2 linked regions of the Astyanax mexicanus genome follow. The protein of the gene in region 1 interacts with the protein of each later gene in a pairwise test. Links are inferred from orthologs where the notes say so. Each region holds a gene or a part of one and is shown on either strand. Other genes may lie near its edges.

Region 1 (8,370 bases):
ACTGGGCTCCTAATGCCTGATTGCTGAGGGGCGCATGTTGCTCCATGGAGAGCTGAGAGGAAAGCTGTGGTCCTTGGGGCTGCTGGATTACTCCAGGCCCTGTAGACTGCACTAGCTGTGGCATGACCCCACCGGTGGGGGCCTGGGCCATCTGGGGTGAGGGAGTCTGTTGTGGTTGCATCAGTCCTTGAGAAAGCGACTGAGCTACAGCAGTGGGCACAGTGCCCACAGGTGGCTGTGAACCCGGCATCATCTGAGCACTGCCTGCCACGGTGACAGGGGGGATGGAGCTGGACAGGTGGGGAAGGGCTTGCGCTGATCCCGGAGCTGCAGCCTGGATGATCTCCTGAGGCGGCTGCTGCTGAGTGAAGTCAGGTGGCAGGCTGCCCCCTTGGCTTAAAGGGTTGACGTGTGCTGGGGCTACCTGGGCTGGTGCCGCTGGCTGCTGTGCAGGCGGGTAGGCCATCTGCTGTGGGGTGACTCCTGAGAGGCCCTGAGCTGGAGTTAGCTGTGCTGCTTGGGCATATGTCATCTGCTGTGGGGCCACGGCCGGTGATGGATGCCCAGTGGCCGTCTGCAAGCCTACCATATTTACCGCATTTTGTTGCTGCTGAGTGCAGGCTGGCAGTGGGGTGGTTGCACCAGCCTTTAGATGGGGATGCACCATGTCCTGGCGAGGCATCTGAGGTTTGGAAATGTTAGCAGTAGTGGGTGGCTGTGGAAAGATCTGCTGCACAGCTGAGGAGCCTCCGATATCACCACTGCTCACACTCTCAGAGTAGTGACTTAGAGTGCTGACTGAGCTGCTGACAGAGCTCACACTGTCTCTTTCTGAGCCCAACACGTTATCAGGTACAAACTGGCGGATGCTCTCTACTGTTCGGGTGCTAGGTGCATTTTCAGAGGACCCAGAACCTGGAGCCTCTTTGTCATAAAACTCTGTGCATGTCCATCGGCCTTTCTTAAACGGCTCGGAACTAGAGTCCAATTTGACCACTCTGAAGCGTGAGCTGGTAGTAGCAGGAGGAGGCATTTGTGCCTGCTGAGAATGAGTGTTAGAGCCAAGGATAGCATTTGAAGGCTGGGTAGCGTCAGCTGTCCCCACATGACTACCACTTGTTGACCCAGTAACAGCAGTGGCAGTGGTGCCAGTTGTCATTGTGATGACATTACTTACTACACCACTCTGCTGCTGCATTAGGTTTACGTTTTGGTTGTTGGTATTATTCAAGCCAGAGGAAAAAACTACACTGCTACTGTTTGTACTTATGCCACCCAAAGCAGGCACATTGGAGTTTAATATATTAACATTACTTGCATTGCTTGGTAAACGCTTAATACTTATCGTAGCACCTGATGCCGCAGTGACTATGCCAGTAGATGTTCCTGGTGCACCAGCAACCAAGGGCTGACTAATGACATTGGTGGTGGCAACAGAGGCGTTTTCCAGAATTCCACCCACATTCGAAGGCATTTTCTGGCCTATGATTGGTACAGATTCAGGGCTTGTTGTGATGGTGGAGGTCACCACACTACCGAGTGGGATGCCAGCAGCTTGAGTAGCGCCTGATCCTGCAGAAGAAGTGGAATGAGTATTTCCAGAATGCGTAGGGTGAAACTGATGGTGGTGGGGCTGGGGGTGCCCCGCATTGTGGTGGTGGTGCTGCTGTTGCTGCTGCTGAACATGATGATGATTATTATTTTGATGATGATGATGATGGTGGTGGTTAACAGCACCATTGACCATAGTGTGTGTGCCGCCGTGGTGCGTCTGGGACAGAATAGGTGGCTGATTTGGAGATACAGCCCCCGGGGTTTCTGCCTCGTGAAAGTTGTTGAGGGTTTCTTCAGATGAGCTCCTCTCAGGTCCACCGGTGTCATTGGTCCGTGACAAGGACACATCCAGGATCTCAGAAGAGGAGAGGTCCTCTGTGTGGGACTCATCCAGATCATCACAACTTTCAGTGTCCTCAGTTATGCTGTTGTTTGTGCTGACGGAGATCTGGGCAGGGGTGACGCTGGTGATCTGAAAGCCACTTTTCTTTTTAATCTGTGCCCCCGGGGCCACGGGCAGGTTCTGGGGCAGCAGCGTGGGCTGGGGGTGGATGCTGAGGCTTTGAGGAGGGAGCTGGGAGCCGAGCGTGGCCGCGGCTGAGGCCAGCGGCTGGATTAGCGCGGAGGGCTTGTAATCGTCTGCCGGCATCAGGTTGTTGCTAAGGCTGGCACTTCCCGAAGATGTCAACGCGGAGGGAGAAGCACTAGCGGTGTTACCGGCAGCCCGTCGGGCAAAAGTCGCCGGTTGCGCCATTTTTCGGGCGCTCGTCGAGTCTCCTGCTGGGTCGGGGTGATGCATTTCTAGGGGGTGGTCTCCGGCAGAGTTGTAAATACAGCTTACAAGAACTGCCGTGTTGACAAGGTCTTTTTCAGTAGGAATTTCACCTCGCCCAAGTAGTTTCCACATAAAACTAATGGCCCCTTTCCAAAAACAGCCAGGAGTCGATAATTCCACTTTTGTTCAAGGTATTTAAACAATGTCCCGGCCAGGCTACGCGCTAGATAACTAGCTAGCTAACCTGGCTAAACTGAATGCTAGCTTATGGCTAGCTTAGCTAGCTAACGTTAGCTAAGTTAAAAACAGTCGTCGTTTAATGCTAGCTAGCGTTAGTGCTCTCAGCTTAGAAACACTGGTTTACACTCAGTTAGTTAGCAAGCTAACATAACTAGCTTATCTTAGCTATTTAACTGTCGAAGACGTTTCAGATCCAGAACGTTGTCAGATATGACCAAATTTAGTTAGCTAACTAACAGTTCATATTATCCAAACAGCTAGCAAATACAGAAATTTATTATCAAACAAACTGAACACAGCTGAGTTAGCTAACCTAACGTTTTCAATATCCAACAGCGGTGGCTGGCTACAAGTGCATGTAGTACAGTTACAGCTACTAGATTGTGATTCGCATTTTGAATCCGGCGTTACAGCAGGCGTAAAACCATACAATCCACCGACGTTGTCAAGCTGGCAGGCTGTATCCAAAACGAGTACCGTTACCGGAGTCCGTGTTTATTCCATGTCCCCGTCCTCTTTGTTATAATCCAGTGTTAGCTAGCTAGCTGCACCAGTAGCTAAATAGTAAGCTAGTATCTTCTTTCCCAACAGCTCTCTGTCTCTCTTCAGCTCTCTCTCTGTCTCCTTGTAATGTAGCCTGTGCTATTGCTAGCCAGCTATCTGCCTGTGACGAGACCGAAAGGGGGAGGAGAAGCTGCTGATAACATGGCGACAGCGCATGTCTGTTTACGCCGCCAACAGCCAGACATAAAGCCAGTCTGAGGGAAAGGCGGAGGGAGGAAAGAGGAGGGAGGGGTGAGCCTAGAAAAAAAATGAGCATAGAAACAAGGGAAGAGTCAGGAGAGGGTGAGAGCGGGGTGGTCTGTTGGAGAGATCTGCAAAATAGCTTGCTAGCTAGTTATTTATCAGCTGAAAAAAGACTTGACCGTACTGTAACCGCTGTCTCTATGGCTCTAAGTGTCTAATATAATATAATATAAAATACTTCTGCTTTTAAGTGTTTCAGAGGGGTTGTGAGACACCCCAGCAGCGGAGAAAGAGAGAAAGCTTTAGCTTACTACGTGAGAGAACCGGAGGAGGGGGGCTTTATCTCCACTGGACCCCTGAGGTTGTCAGTGGGCGTTGTCCTCATGTCGCTTATGTCCTTTTGGCCCGGGTGATGCTAGCTAGATAGCTAAGTTGGATAGAAAGATACAGCTCTGAAAAGCCCACTTAAGTTTCTTTGATTTTGTATATATTCATATGCATATGTGTCAGTAAAATAAATATTGCTGTTTTATTCTATAAACTACGGACAACATTTCCCCCAAATTCCAAATAAAAATATTGTCATTTAGAGCATTTATTTGCGGAAAACGATAAATGGCTAAAATAACAACAAAAAAAAAAGAAACAGAGCTTTCAGACCTTAAATAATGAAAAGAAAACAAGTTCATATTCATAAAGTTTTCATAAAAACTTCAGAAATCAATAGTTGCTGGAATAACCCTGATTTTAATTACAGTTTTCCTGCATCTTGGCATGTTCTGCTCCACCATTCTTGCACACTGCTTTTGGATAAAACTGATAAAATTCAAGCAGTTCAGTTTGGTTTGATGGCTTGTGATCATCCATCTTCCTCTTGATTATATTCCAGAGGTTTTCAATTTGGTAAAATCAAAGAAGTGTCTAATTTGTAAGTGGTCTCTTATTTTTTTCCAGAGCTGTATCTTGCTAATTAAATAATCAGTTAAGCTAGCTCGCAGACCAAGCTCAGTTTTAAACTCATTATGGCTCACATTTGACATTATGGATGATTGAAAAAAATATTTAAGCAAATGCATGTGGGTACCAGGGGATGTCCAAATATCTGGGTCTTAAGAATCTGCCTGGTTTAATTGGAGACAATAACATGTTGTCACTGTTGAGTAAAAACATTATATGAGTATACTCTAAAATGAGCATACTTTTCTCCAAATGAAAAGTCATGAGAATGAAATTCATTTTACAGCATTTTTATTGGACTTTGTAGCATTAATTTGTTGTGTTTCACATCAAATTAACTTCAGGATATCCAACATATTTATTACACATTGCATTATTAGTCCAAATCATACACCCCTAGTTTGCATGTGTATGTTCCTGTGGATGACTTGAAGGTGGTACTTTGAGTTATCTGTTATACATTATCAGGGCTATATGGCATAGCTAGCTAGCTATTTAGCTTGAATAGACCCACCTAGGATAGTTTGTTGACTTCTGTCTGGGTCAGCAGCTTAACAAAGTGTAAACAGACTGTATGGGGGGAAACAAGCTTGGTGGCTAACTAACATGGTCCAGAAATGTGTCCTGTTTTCACAAAACAACTAGCTACATTGAAAGAGGTGCCAGATTTTTCCACAGACAGAAGAGAACAACCAAACACATGTGTTCACTGCACAGCCATTGCACACACTGATGGTTGGTCCTCTCTGTTTAGAGTAGGAGCTAAAGTTCTAGGCTCAGTAGTTTAATGTGTTAAGGGTTTTAAAATATGACTTAAGGGGAAGGGGCTGCGCAACATGATAAACATATGGTTATATATATGATAAACACATATATATATATGAAAACTAATTTAAAATGATTTAATATTATTATATTATTGTATAATATAGTTTATACTATGACATTTATTTTAAATAGTTGCAGAATATTAACAAAAACATAAATGTTGTGTCCATTTTCAAATGTATTTATGAATGTATTCCACATATTCCTTTTTCATTATGAAACTTAGAAAAATACATAGCTTTGGTGGGATTGCACTGGCACCTTTACACTCTTATGGATTAAGAAATATTCAAACATTGCTTAAAGGGGTTGGGACTTTATAACAGTACATTCTTTGGACATTTACAAGACCTGTTCCATACTGTCTCTCTGATGTTAATGTGTAAAATAGGTCTGTAGTTAGCTGGAACTTTTCTAGAGTTCTTTTTTGTCAGATGTGGTGTGTAGTGTGTAATTGCTAGTAAAACAAAAAGCACAAAAGTTGAGGTAGGGGTAGCATAGTTTAGTCTGTTGTTAGTTGAGTTGTTTGTAGTGCTTTTGATAATTGATTCTAGTAGTGTAATAGATAGCCAATAATGAAAGAACATATTTTTTAGTGGGGAAATCAATTTGGTAATTTTTATGTCATATGAGGTGAGGTACTACTAAGTACTAATTTGAGATAACATGTTAACATATATTCATTGTATGCACATACTTACCTGAATGACCTTCTTTTCAGAGACTAAATTCAGATTTTAGGCATATAACAGTGTCTCATTAAAACAGCTGCTTTGTCAGAGGTTCAGAAGCTTTTAGATCCAGGACTTATTCAATGAAATACAAATGTGTACCCCTGTAATGCAAAAATAACTGCATGCGGTACTTCATTGGACAAAAAGCTGATGTGACCTACAGTTGATAGATATCCCTTCTCTTTGGACTCGTCAACAAACCTGAATGAAAGTGAGGTTGATATGATTGTAATCCGGAACAATAACTGTTGGGAAACGATATAAGATGCCCTTCCGAAATGAATGTGTGCCCTTTGTCACTGGCAGGCAATATTCAGCCCAGGCAGACAGGCTTGTACCCATCCATACAAATGTCGGAGGGAGAGAGCCAGCGAGAGCTGATTGCAATGTAAGCGTCTGGTGCTGTCAGCAGCTTTAAATCACACTGGCACTCCACAACAAAAAACACAGAGAGCTATTGTCCTCCTGAACAATTATGGTCAATTTAAACACTGCTGTCTGCTTTAGTTTGTAAACATTTATTAAAATGATATCTTTATGATTAGATAAAAGAATAGGGCCCACTGTTGAGTCACTGTTTGCATGTAATCCAAGGCTTCAGTTGAAAGCAGAACAACAAAACGCTGTGCTTTCATTGCTTTTCTCTGCTGCTGTCATGAGAGCATTTAAACATGTTCAAAGATGTTTATGGGTTTTGAAATATGTGAAGCCTGCAGATGAAGCTGCTGCATTGACACAGTTGTCCTGAAGCGAGGTGAAATTCCTGAAACAACAAAAGCCTACAGGAGAGAGAGGAGCAGCAAAGCAAAGCCTAAAGTCTCTGAATACAGATGTCAAGCCTGTAGTTGGGGCATTGTGTCCACTTGTGAGCCAACTTTAAGTCGGAATTTCTGATACTCATAGTGTTGTCAGACCAGTCCAGTCATCCGCTCATTTGGTAAATTATTGTGTGCAAATGCCTGCGATATGAAATGGTACCTGTGATTATGATTGGTCATATTTTTCCTGTCCTTGCCCTTTACAGTTGATTCAGTCATTAATGTATGTATGAATAAATAAGCTTTAGATATCCAACATATTAAAAAAATTGTAAGAAAATGCTTGATACATTTTACACCCTTATAATTTTAGTATTACTCCTGTAAAGGTAACATCGTAACGCTACAAAGAGAGCTACATTTCACTAATAATACATCAGAATTGTGGTGTGCCATGCCTAGAACACATTTAACCCTTTCGATAAACTACAATTTTTTTGAGTCCGTTAGCTAATCAAATAACAAACGCATCCTAACATAAATGCACTATTGGGACCGTTTGCAGTAGTTATTTCTAAAAAGCTATTTTAAATGCACATATATAACAATAGTACTAATGTGTATTCTCTATGAAGGAATTGCTTATGTGACTCTAAATATAATTAATGTTGAGATTTGTTGTTGTTGCTGTTCCTGATTTATCATTCATGGTGTTTACTACAGAAACCAGTATTAAGAATAAAGATTTAGATTATTTGAAACACTTTATTGATGCCATAGATAATTCTCTTCCAGTAGTACACTGACTTAAACATCTGTCAAGTGTTGTACCTCAAGGCTTAATACTTAAGCCATTATTGTTTTTATACACATAAACCACTTTAAACTTTCTTTCAAAAGTGCTTTTTTTATTTGACAGTTATATCTATCTATCAAACTAAGATTGATTTATTTTCACAAGAGTTTGCTGCTGGCTTTTGTTGTGACAGCTGATTTAAAGCTAATAAATGATCTCACAACCTTCACCAAGGCGCTTGTAATACGTTTTTGCTAGAAGGTGAAAGAGAGATTGTTTTTTTCACTTGTTCCATTTGTTTCTATTGTGCCACATGCTATATTGTCTCTCATAAATGAAACTCATAGATCTAAGGTCCTCCTGTGGGAATGTTAACCTGGTTCTATTTGTCACTGCAGCTTTGTCACTGTGTAAAGGTCACTGAGTTTTTTTCTTTACCATTAATTTCTAAGACTTTGTTTGGACCTGTTGCAGAGTCACAGATCGGATGTTGTGGTCTTGCAAGTGTTTGCCATTTTGTGAGAGGAATTTTGGTGCAAATTATTGGTGAAACAAATTTGAAGAGGGTGATAATAAAGCTTCAATCTATCTGTGTGTCTTTCTTAGACTTTATGTAATGGAAACCAGGTCTATCTTATGCTTTATCTGAAATACATGAGTGTCAGTGTGGAGTAAGCAGTTGTAGTTAATTTCAATGCAGCTGATTTCATTTTGGTGTCCTTGAATAAGACAGCAAGGACTGTGCTCACAGTATTTCAGCACTCTGTCATTGTTATAACCTTGATCTTCGTTAAGGTGCTTGTTTCAGAGATTTGATTTCATATGAAGATGTGATGAAGGATGGGCTCTGCCTCTGAAAGCCTTTCTTTATGTACCATGTCTTGTATCAGGCCTGTCAACTGAATGTGTTCTTGTTGTTGCGTAAGGATGGAACACAAAAGAAGTCAGTAGATAAGTTCAGTATCGCAGTGTTTCCACTGC
Region 2 (8,068 bases), on another chromosome or scaffold:
GCAGCGAATCACTTCCTCACTGCTAGCAGCGTCACGCGCACAGGTAGAAAGAGAGAGAGAGAGAGAGAGAGAGAGAGAGAGAGAGAGAGAGAGAGAGAGAGAGAGAGAGAGAGAGAGAGAGACAGAGAGACAGAGAGAGAGAGAGAGAGAGAGAGAGAGTGAATAAGCGCACGTCAGGATGCTCTGCTTAGTGATGGGTCTAATGACCCTGAAACCTCGACACATGCGCCGAGCTGTCAAGGCGAAACCCCGTGTCGGTGCGCGTATCAAGTTAAGGAAAACCACGTGACCGATACACTTCCTGTATCGTTTGGTAGCGATGGGTCTGACGACACTGGAACCTCAGCGCATGCACCGAGCAAACAAGGCGATCCCCTGTGTCAGACCGCGTATCCACAGTGGAAGAACACCAGTCAAAAGTTTGGACACACCTTCATATTCACAAATTCAGATTTTTTTTTTTTTTCTTAAATTATTTTAAAATTTTCTGCATTGTCGATTAATACCACAATCATCCAAACTATGAAAAAAAAAAGAAAAATCAGAATATATCTTTAAATATTTTAAGAACTTTGAAATTATCGTATGCACCTTATTTTTCGGACTTTAATCTACAGTGCTCCTTATGTATAAATTCTACCAGTCAGGTATTAAGGAGCAGTAAAACCACTCTGCTGAAGTGCAGAGTTTTCAGTGAAGTTTCTCCAGCACTAAGGCTGGGAGCAGCAGCATTAGCATTAGCATAAGCCGCTAATCACAACGCTAGCTCTTTAGACTGTAGTCTGCATGTTTGCCGTGTTAAAACAAGCTAATATGTGGTACGAACCACTAGCTGATAGCACCCTGGGTTACCAGAACACTCAGGGTTTCTCAGTGTAGCACTGTATGGCGGCATTTACTGCCGCTAACCAATGCTAACTGCGGTGTAAAACATTAGAATTCTAAGCTTACTATAAATAAATGGAAGCATTTACTCACCAAAATAAAGTTTTCAATAAAGAAATCTGTGTAGATTACTGTGCAACAGCCTTGTTTCTTACTAGTGGTACCGTAAAATACGGTATCCTTAGGTGCAATTGCAAGAACCATCAAAAAACGCTATGATGGAACTGGCTCTCATCAGGGCTGCCAGTACTGTACCAGTGCTGTGCAAATATTCTGAGCATTAATGTTAATCAGTGTATTGTTGCCCTATAGAACTCTATAGTAAGTTATAGTAACCCTATCTCTGAGTGTAATTTAAATCAGCAGCACACTAAATACTGTGATGGAAATTAAAAATCCTAATTCTATATATTACTGGTGTTTTCTTTTTGTTCCAGATTAATACATTTGACTGATGTGTTTAAACTTGCTAGCTAGTTTAACCTCCTTTTTTTTCCAAAAAAAAAAAAACGAATAAACTCTATATCAAAATCTATAGAATAGAAGATCATCTCATTTGTTTGATCATGTTTTGTATGATTTAGCAGAAATACAGTATAATCAGAAATAGGACCTGTACAGAAACAGCAGTTTATTACAGGTTCTGGGTTTTACTGGGTTATACTGGGTCTACCAGGCCCAGATTACGTCAGCAGGAGAGTCCTTTCTCATAAATGAATAAATGAATATCAGATTACAGTATTATATAAAATTATATCATAATTCCATCTTTAGTTGACCCACATTTTTACCTGCCTGTACTGCCCCCTAGTGTCTCACAGCCAGCATTACTAATCCGCACTAAACTGCAGTACAGATTTACACTGAGCCCTGCTGCACAACCATCATCATCATCATCATCTTCATTACTCTTATTATCATCATCATCATCATCATCATCATCATCATTACTCTTATTATCATCATCATCATCATCATCATCATCATCATTACTCTTATCATCATCATCATCATCATCATCATCATCATCATTACTCTTATTATCATCATCATCATCATCATCATCATCATTACTCTTATTATCATCATCATCATCATCATCATCATCATCATTACTCTTATCATCATCATCATCATCATCATCATCATCTTCATTACTCTTATCATCATCTTCATCATCATCATCTTCATTACTCTTATCATCATCTTCATCATCATCATCATCATCATCATCTTCATTACTCTTATCATCATCATCATCATCATCTTCATTACTCTTATCATCATCTTCATCATCATCATCATCACCATCATTATCTTCATCATCATCATCATCATCCTCATCATCATCATTACTCTTATTATCATCATCATCATCATCATTACTCTTATCATCATCATCATCATCATCATCATCATTACTCTTATCATCATCATCATCATCATCATCATTACTCTTATCATCATCATCATCATCATCATCATCATTACTCTTATCATCATCATCATCATCATCATCATCATCATCATCTCCATTACTCTTATCATCATCATCATCATCATCATCATCATCATCATCATCATCATCATCATTACTCTTATCATCATCATCATCATCATCATCATCATCATCATCTTCATTACTCTTATCACCATCTTCATCATTATCATCATTATTCTTATCATCATCTTCATCATCCTCATTATCATCATCATTAGTCTTATTATCATCATCCTCATCATCATTACTCGTATCATCATCATCACCATCATCATCTTCATCATCATCATCCCTATAGTAATTTAAAAGTTAAATTCTCAAAAAATGTAATTAAATAAAATCATATAATATAATAATAGTTATATAATATTATATGATTATATTATAATCATACAATAGTCATCATCATCATCATCTTCTTCTTCATCATCCTCATTATCATTATTATCATTAGTTAATATATAAGTTAAATTCTCAAATTTTATATAAATATAATAATCTAAAAATAATTATCGTACTTTGGGATAATACAGTAAAAGTTGTTTATTAATCCTGACTGGTAATCCTAGAATAATGAATAATTGTGATTAATAAATGAGTGTGATTAATAAATGAGTGTGATTAATAAATGAGTGTGATTAATGAATGACTCTTGCAGTGTGTTTTGAGTGAGGTCAGGTCAGTGCTGTTTGAATATGGTTTGTATTACAGAGTTCAGTTCAGTGTTTTATACAGTATATAATGCTGCTCTGTTTAAACGATGATCAGTACCCTGACTGTTTTGTGTTATACACCTTATTGTCCACTGGGTGGCGCACTGAGGTAATACATGGCTCTGCACCTCTCTGCGCAGGCGCTGTGCATTCCCTACCCGTATTCCGACAAGGCCCACCCGCCTGCGCTGTGATTGGCTTGCAGTGTGCCGCGGCCTGCACTGTGATTGGCTGGAACTTCATAGAGTAATAATAATGATGTTTTAAACATTTCCTTTGTATTAAAATTCACACAGTCATTTAGTGTTTTGAATAATGAGGTGATCTAGATTATGAAGGAACACATAAGGAATTATGTAGTAACTTAAAATTACTGTTAAACAAACTAAAATACTCTGGTAACTCTGATGAACTTATCCTGTACAACAGAGGAAGCTCTTGCTCTTCCTTTCCTGAGGCGGTCCTGATAAGAGCCAGTTTCATCATAACATTTTTTATAGTCTTTGCAGTGACTGCACTTTTAAAGTTCTTAAAATGTTTCGGATTGACTGACCTTCATTTCTTAAAGTCATTTTTTACTTTTCTTTATTTAGTTGAGTAGTTCTTGCTTCTCATAATCTGGATTCGAACATTACTCAAATATTCACTATTCACTGTATACCTGTAACTCTACCTCTTCACTACTTTACTTTAACTGATGCTCTCAAACACTTTATTAAGAGACAAGAAATTCAAGTAATTAACTCTTGATGAGTTCAGCACAGCTGTTAACTGAAAGCCTGAAATTCCAGGTGCTACTTTGAAGAATGTAAAATATAAAACATATTCTGGTTTGTTTAACACTTTTTGTTAACTAAATAGTTCCATATGTTTTTAATTAGTAAATATTATTTTCCATCCATAGATGGGTTGCCAGATTGACACACAGTAACCAGCAACAACAATCTTACTATGCAAGCTGATCAGTGAATGTATATGTTTGCAATGTTTTTATTGGTTGCACATTTTAAAACAACTCATGCTGATATTATATAACATATATTAAGTTTCTTCTCAATATAGGATAGAACTTCAATTTTAAAACATTTAATTTATTTAAGAATAAGAAATCAGGAACATATCATACATATACATATATATGTACAGCTCTGGGGAAAAAAAAGGAAGATGGATGATCACAAGCCATCAAACCAAACTGAAGTAAAGCAGCATAAAGGTATCCAAAAGCAGTGTGTAAGACTGGTGGAGGAGAACATGATGCCAAGATGCATGAAAAAAACTGTGATTAAAAATCAGGGTTGTTTTCTTTGCAATATTTGAGGTCTGAAAGCTCTGCATTTGTTTTTGTTATTTTAGCCATTTCTCATTCAATATATTTATTTGGAATTTGGGAGAAATGCTGTCTGTAGTTTATAGAATAAAACAACAATATTCATTTTACTCAAACATAAACCTATAAATAGCAAAATCAGAGAAACTGATTCAGAAACTGACAATGATGGGAGAAGAATTGAGCTGGAGGGTGTGGCCTGACTGAAAACGGGTGGGAAAAGAAAAGGAACGAGGCGTGCTGAGCGAGAGAGAGAGAGAGAGAGAGAGAGAGAGAGGGAGAGAGAGAGAGAGAGAGAGAGAGAGAGAGAGAGAGAGAGAGAGCTTGGAGGCAGGCACCGAGCAGACAGACACGAAGCAGCAGCAGCAGCAGCAGCTCAGATTAATGCGCAGCAGATCCTCCAGCACAGCTTCAGCTTCAGCTCCAGCACTCCACTAAACACCAGAGAGAACAGGAGGAAGATCAGGAGGAAGAGACAGACAGACAGACAGACAGACAGACAGGATGGGACATAAAGACGCCTTCATATTACTGACTCTACTGTCCTGCTGCGCGTGGAGAGATGCTGAGGTAAGATAACAGGGTGGATCTTCAGTAAATGAGGGGCTGCAGGGGGTTTAATCAGCAGCTGCAGTCCGAGGAGGATGGAAAATCTGCGTGTGTGTGCGTGTGTGTGTGTGTGTGTGTGTGTGTGTGTGTGTGTGTGTGTGTGATGGATTGGAAAAAGGGTAAACACCATCATTGTGTCCAGTGAGGGCAGTGAGAGGATGGACATGATTAGAGAGGCAGTGAAAAATAAAGAGAGAGAGAGATAGAGCGATGGAAAAAGAGAAGGATGAGAGATTAATAGAGTGGGAAAAAAAGAAAGACAATCTAGAGAGAGACAATGAGAGAGAAATATAATTAGGCCTTCACAGGTATATATATATATATATATATATATATATATAGAGAGAGAGAGAGAGACATTTAGAGGTAATGGGGGAGGGAGAGAGACATATGGACATACACATGCATTTATAGAGAGAGAGAGAGAGATACATTTGGGGAGACAGAGAGAGATATAGGGACATACAGTGACATTTACAGAAAGAGAGAGAGAGAGAGAGAGAGAGAGAGAGAGACATTTACAAAGGGAGAGAGACATGGGGACACACAGAGACATTTACGGAGAGAGGTATAGATACATATGGAGAGGGAGGGGGTAGGAAGAGAGACATAGGGACATACAGAGACATTTACAGACAGAGAGATACAGATATATTTAGACAGGGAGAGGGGTAGGGAGAGACGTGACACATAGAGACCTAGGGACATACAGAGTAATTTAAAAAGAAATGAAAGAGAGAGAGAGATTGGCATACAGTGACATTTAAAGAGAGGAAGATAAAGAGATACAGCGACATTTAGAAAGAGAGAGGGGAAGAGAGAGAGACAGGGACATACAGAGACATTTGGAGAGATAGAGACAGAGAGAGCTATAGAGACATTTAGAGAAAGATGGGAGAGAGAGAGAGATTGACATACAGTGATATTTAGATAGAGGGACGTAGGGAGAGAGACCCATAACTCTATATTGGACATATAGAGTTATTTATCGAGAGAGACAGGGACATACAGAGACATTGGGGGGGTATATGGACATGCATCTATAAGAGAGAACGAGAGACATTTAAAGATCTATAATATATACATACAAAGAGCAGAAGCGAGATAAAGAGACAAATATGGACATACTATATAGAGGGTATATATGTGTGTATATATATATACATAGAGACATTAAGAAAGAGAGAGAGACAGGTAGGGAGAGAGGCATAGAAACATACCCAGACATTAAGAAAGAGACAGACAGAGAGAGAGAGAGACAGTCTGATAGAGAGAGAGAGAGAGAGAGAGAGAGAGACATAAGGACATACAGAGACATTAAAAAAGATAGATAGAGACAATCTAATGAATTTTATAGGGCGGGGCATTATGGTCTGGTTTCTGCAGAATAAAATTAGTATATTTTTATTATGAATTAAGCAGAGATGTTTTATAATTGGAGATCAGAGCTGTATGTGTTTTATATGATGGCTGGTGTGTGTTTGTGTACGCAGTGTGTGTGTGTGTGTGTGTTTGTGGTGTGTGTGTTGGTGCTGATCTGCACTGTGGCCTGTAGGGCAGGTTTATGGCCTTTGTGTGTGTGTGTGTGTGTGTGTGTGTGTGTGTGCGCTGGAGCTGCAGCTCTTTAAAAAAACACGCAGTGTGTCCGTGTCCCACAGTAATCCCTCGTCCTCGCCACGTAAAAAGCGTGGGCTGAGGTTTCAGCTCTCCTCTTTACTGCATGCTGGAGTGTGTGTGTGTGTGTGTGTGTGTGTGTGTGTGTGTGTGTGCGGTTTGCAGTGTGTGTGGAGCGATGACTGTGGCGTTTGTTATTGCACCAACGATGGATGCTCTGCAGCGATGCTGACAAAGCCTGTAGCACCCAGAGGGCCAGGTTTCTTCTTCTTCCACACACACATACACACACACACACACACACACACAGGCTGAGTGTGGCTACATTGGGTTTTCTACAATGCAGAGGCCAGAATGATGAAGCAAAACAGGGGGGACCTGATAATAGAGGTGGAATTATGGCGTGATGCTGTAAAATATTCAGATTTTAGAGGTTACACAATAATTTTGCTCTTTAAAGGCTTTGATATGTAAAAAAAGCAGCTTAATAATTGATAAAATGCTGAAAATAAGATGTTTCTGGTGGATTTACATGAATTTTGTGGTGAATTCAAGTATTTGCATCACCGAACACTAATAATTCAGTTTGAATATGGTCACATCAATGTGTTTTTAAAGGGAAAAACTAAATTTACATGCTTTAATAGAAAACTATCATATTTTTCAGACTACAAATTACACCAGGCTATAAGGCACAATTTAAGCAACACTATTTAGGATGCCTGCATTGAAGTGAGCAATGGTGTCGCCATGTTTCTCTTCTAATAAGGAAGCTGAGGGATGCGCCTAAATCAACAAAACTGTAATTTTTTAAAAGAACAAATTACTTTCAAAGTCAAACGAGTGCTGGATGTTTTTTTCTCCTGAAAACTGTTTATTTGGGGAGCAAAGCTCATCCTTTTATTACTGTAAATAGCTTGGATTTCCAATATTTTGTCTAAAAATGAGTTTTCAGTGAAGTTTCTCCAGCACTAAGGCTGGGTGCAGCAGCAATAGCATTAGCATTAGCTGCTAACCGCAGTGCTAAACTGAGGAACCCTGAGTTTAGAGAGGGAGATGGGTAAAGAGAGAGAGACATAGGGACATACAGAGACATTTAGAGAGAGAGAGAGAGAGATACATTTGCAAAGGGAGAGAGACATAGGGACATACAGAGACATTTACAGACAGAGAGATACAGATATATTTAGAGAGGGAGATGGGTAGGGAGAGAGACATAGGGACATACAGAGACATGTAGACAGGGAGAGAGACATTGGGACATACAAAGTCATCCTTTTACTACTGTAAATAGCTTGGATTTCCAATACTTTGTCTAAAAATGAGTTTTAAGTGAAGTTTCTTCAGCACTAAGGCTGGGTGCAGCAGCATTAGCATTAGCATTAGCCGCCAACCGCAGTCCTACACTGAGGAACC

What was found.
Region 2: the proteins of tsc22d1 (region 1) and aplp1 interact in a two-hybrid assay, tested with the Homo sapiens proteins (2 studies listed by BioGRID and IntAct). The link is inferred for Astyanax mexicanus from reciprocal best matches to the Homo sapiens genes TSC22D1 and APLP1.

Annotation. Positions count from the first base shown.
Region 1 is NC_064418.1:28,487,824-28,496,193, forward strand, and holds the start of tsc22d1 (TSC22 domain family protein 1), read right to left. Parts: upstream 3,335-8,370; 5' UTR 2,462-3,334; coding exon 1-2,461. UniProt on the Homo sapiens protein: Transcriptional repressor. Acts on the C-type natriuretic peptide (CNP) promoter. Acts to promote CASP3-mediated apoptosis.
Region 2 is NC_064425.1:43,602,093-43,610,160, reverse strand, and holds the start of aplp1 (amyloid beta precursor like protein 1), read left to right. Parts: upstream 1-4,753; 5' UTR 4,754-4,933; coding exon 4,934-4,999; intron 5,000-8,068. UniProt on the Homo sapiens protein: May play a role in postsynaptic function. The C-terminal gamma-secretase processed fragment, ALID1, activates transcription activation through APBB1 (Fe65) binding. Couples to JIP signal transduction through C-terminal binding.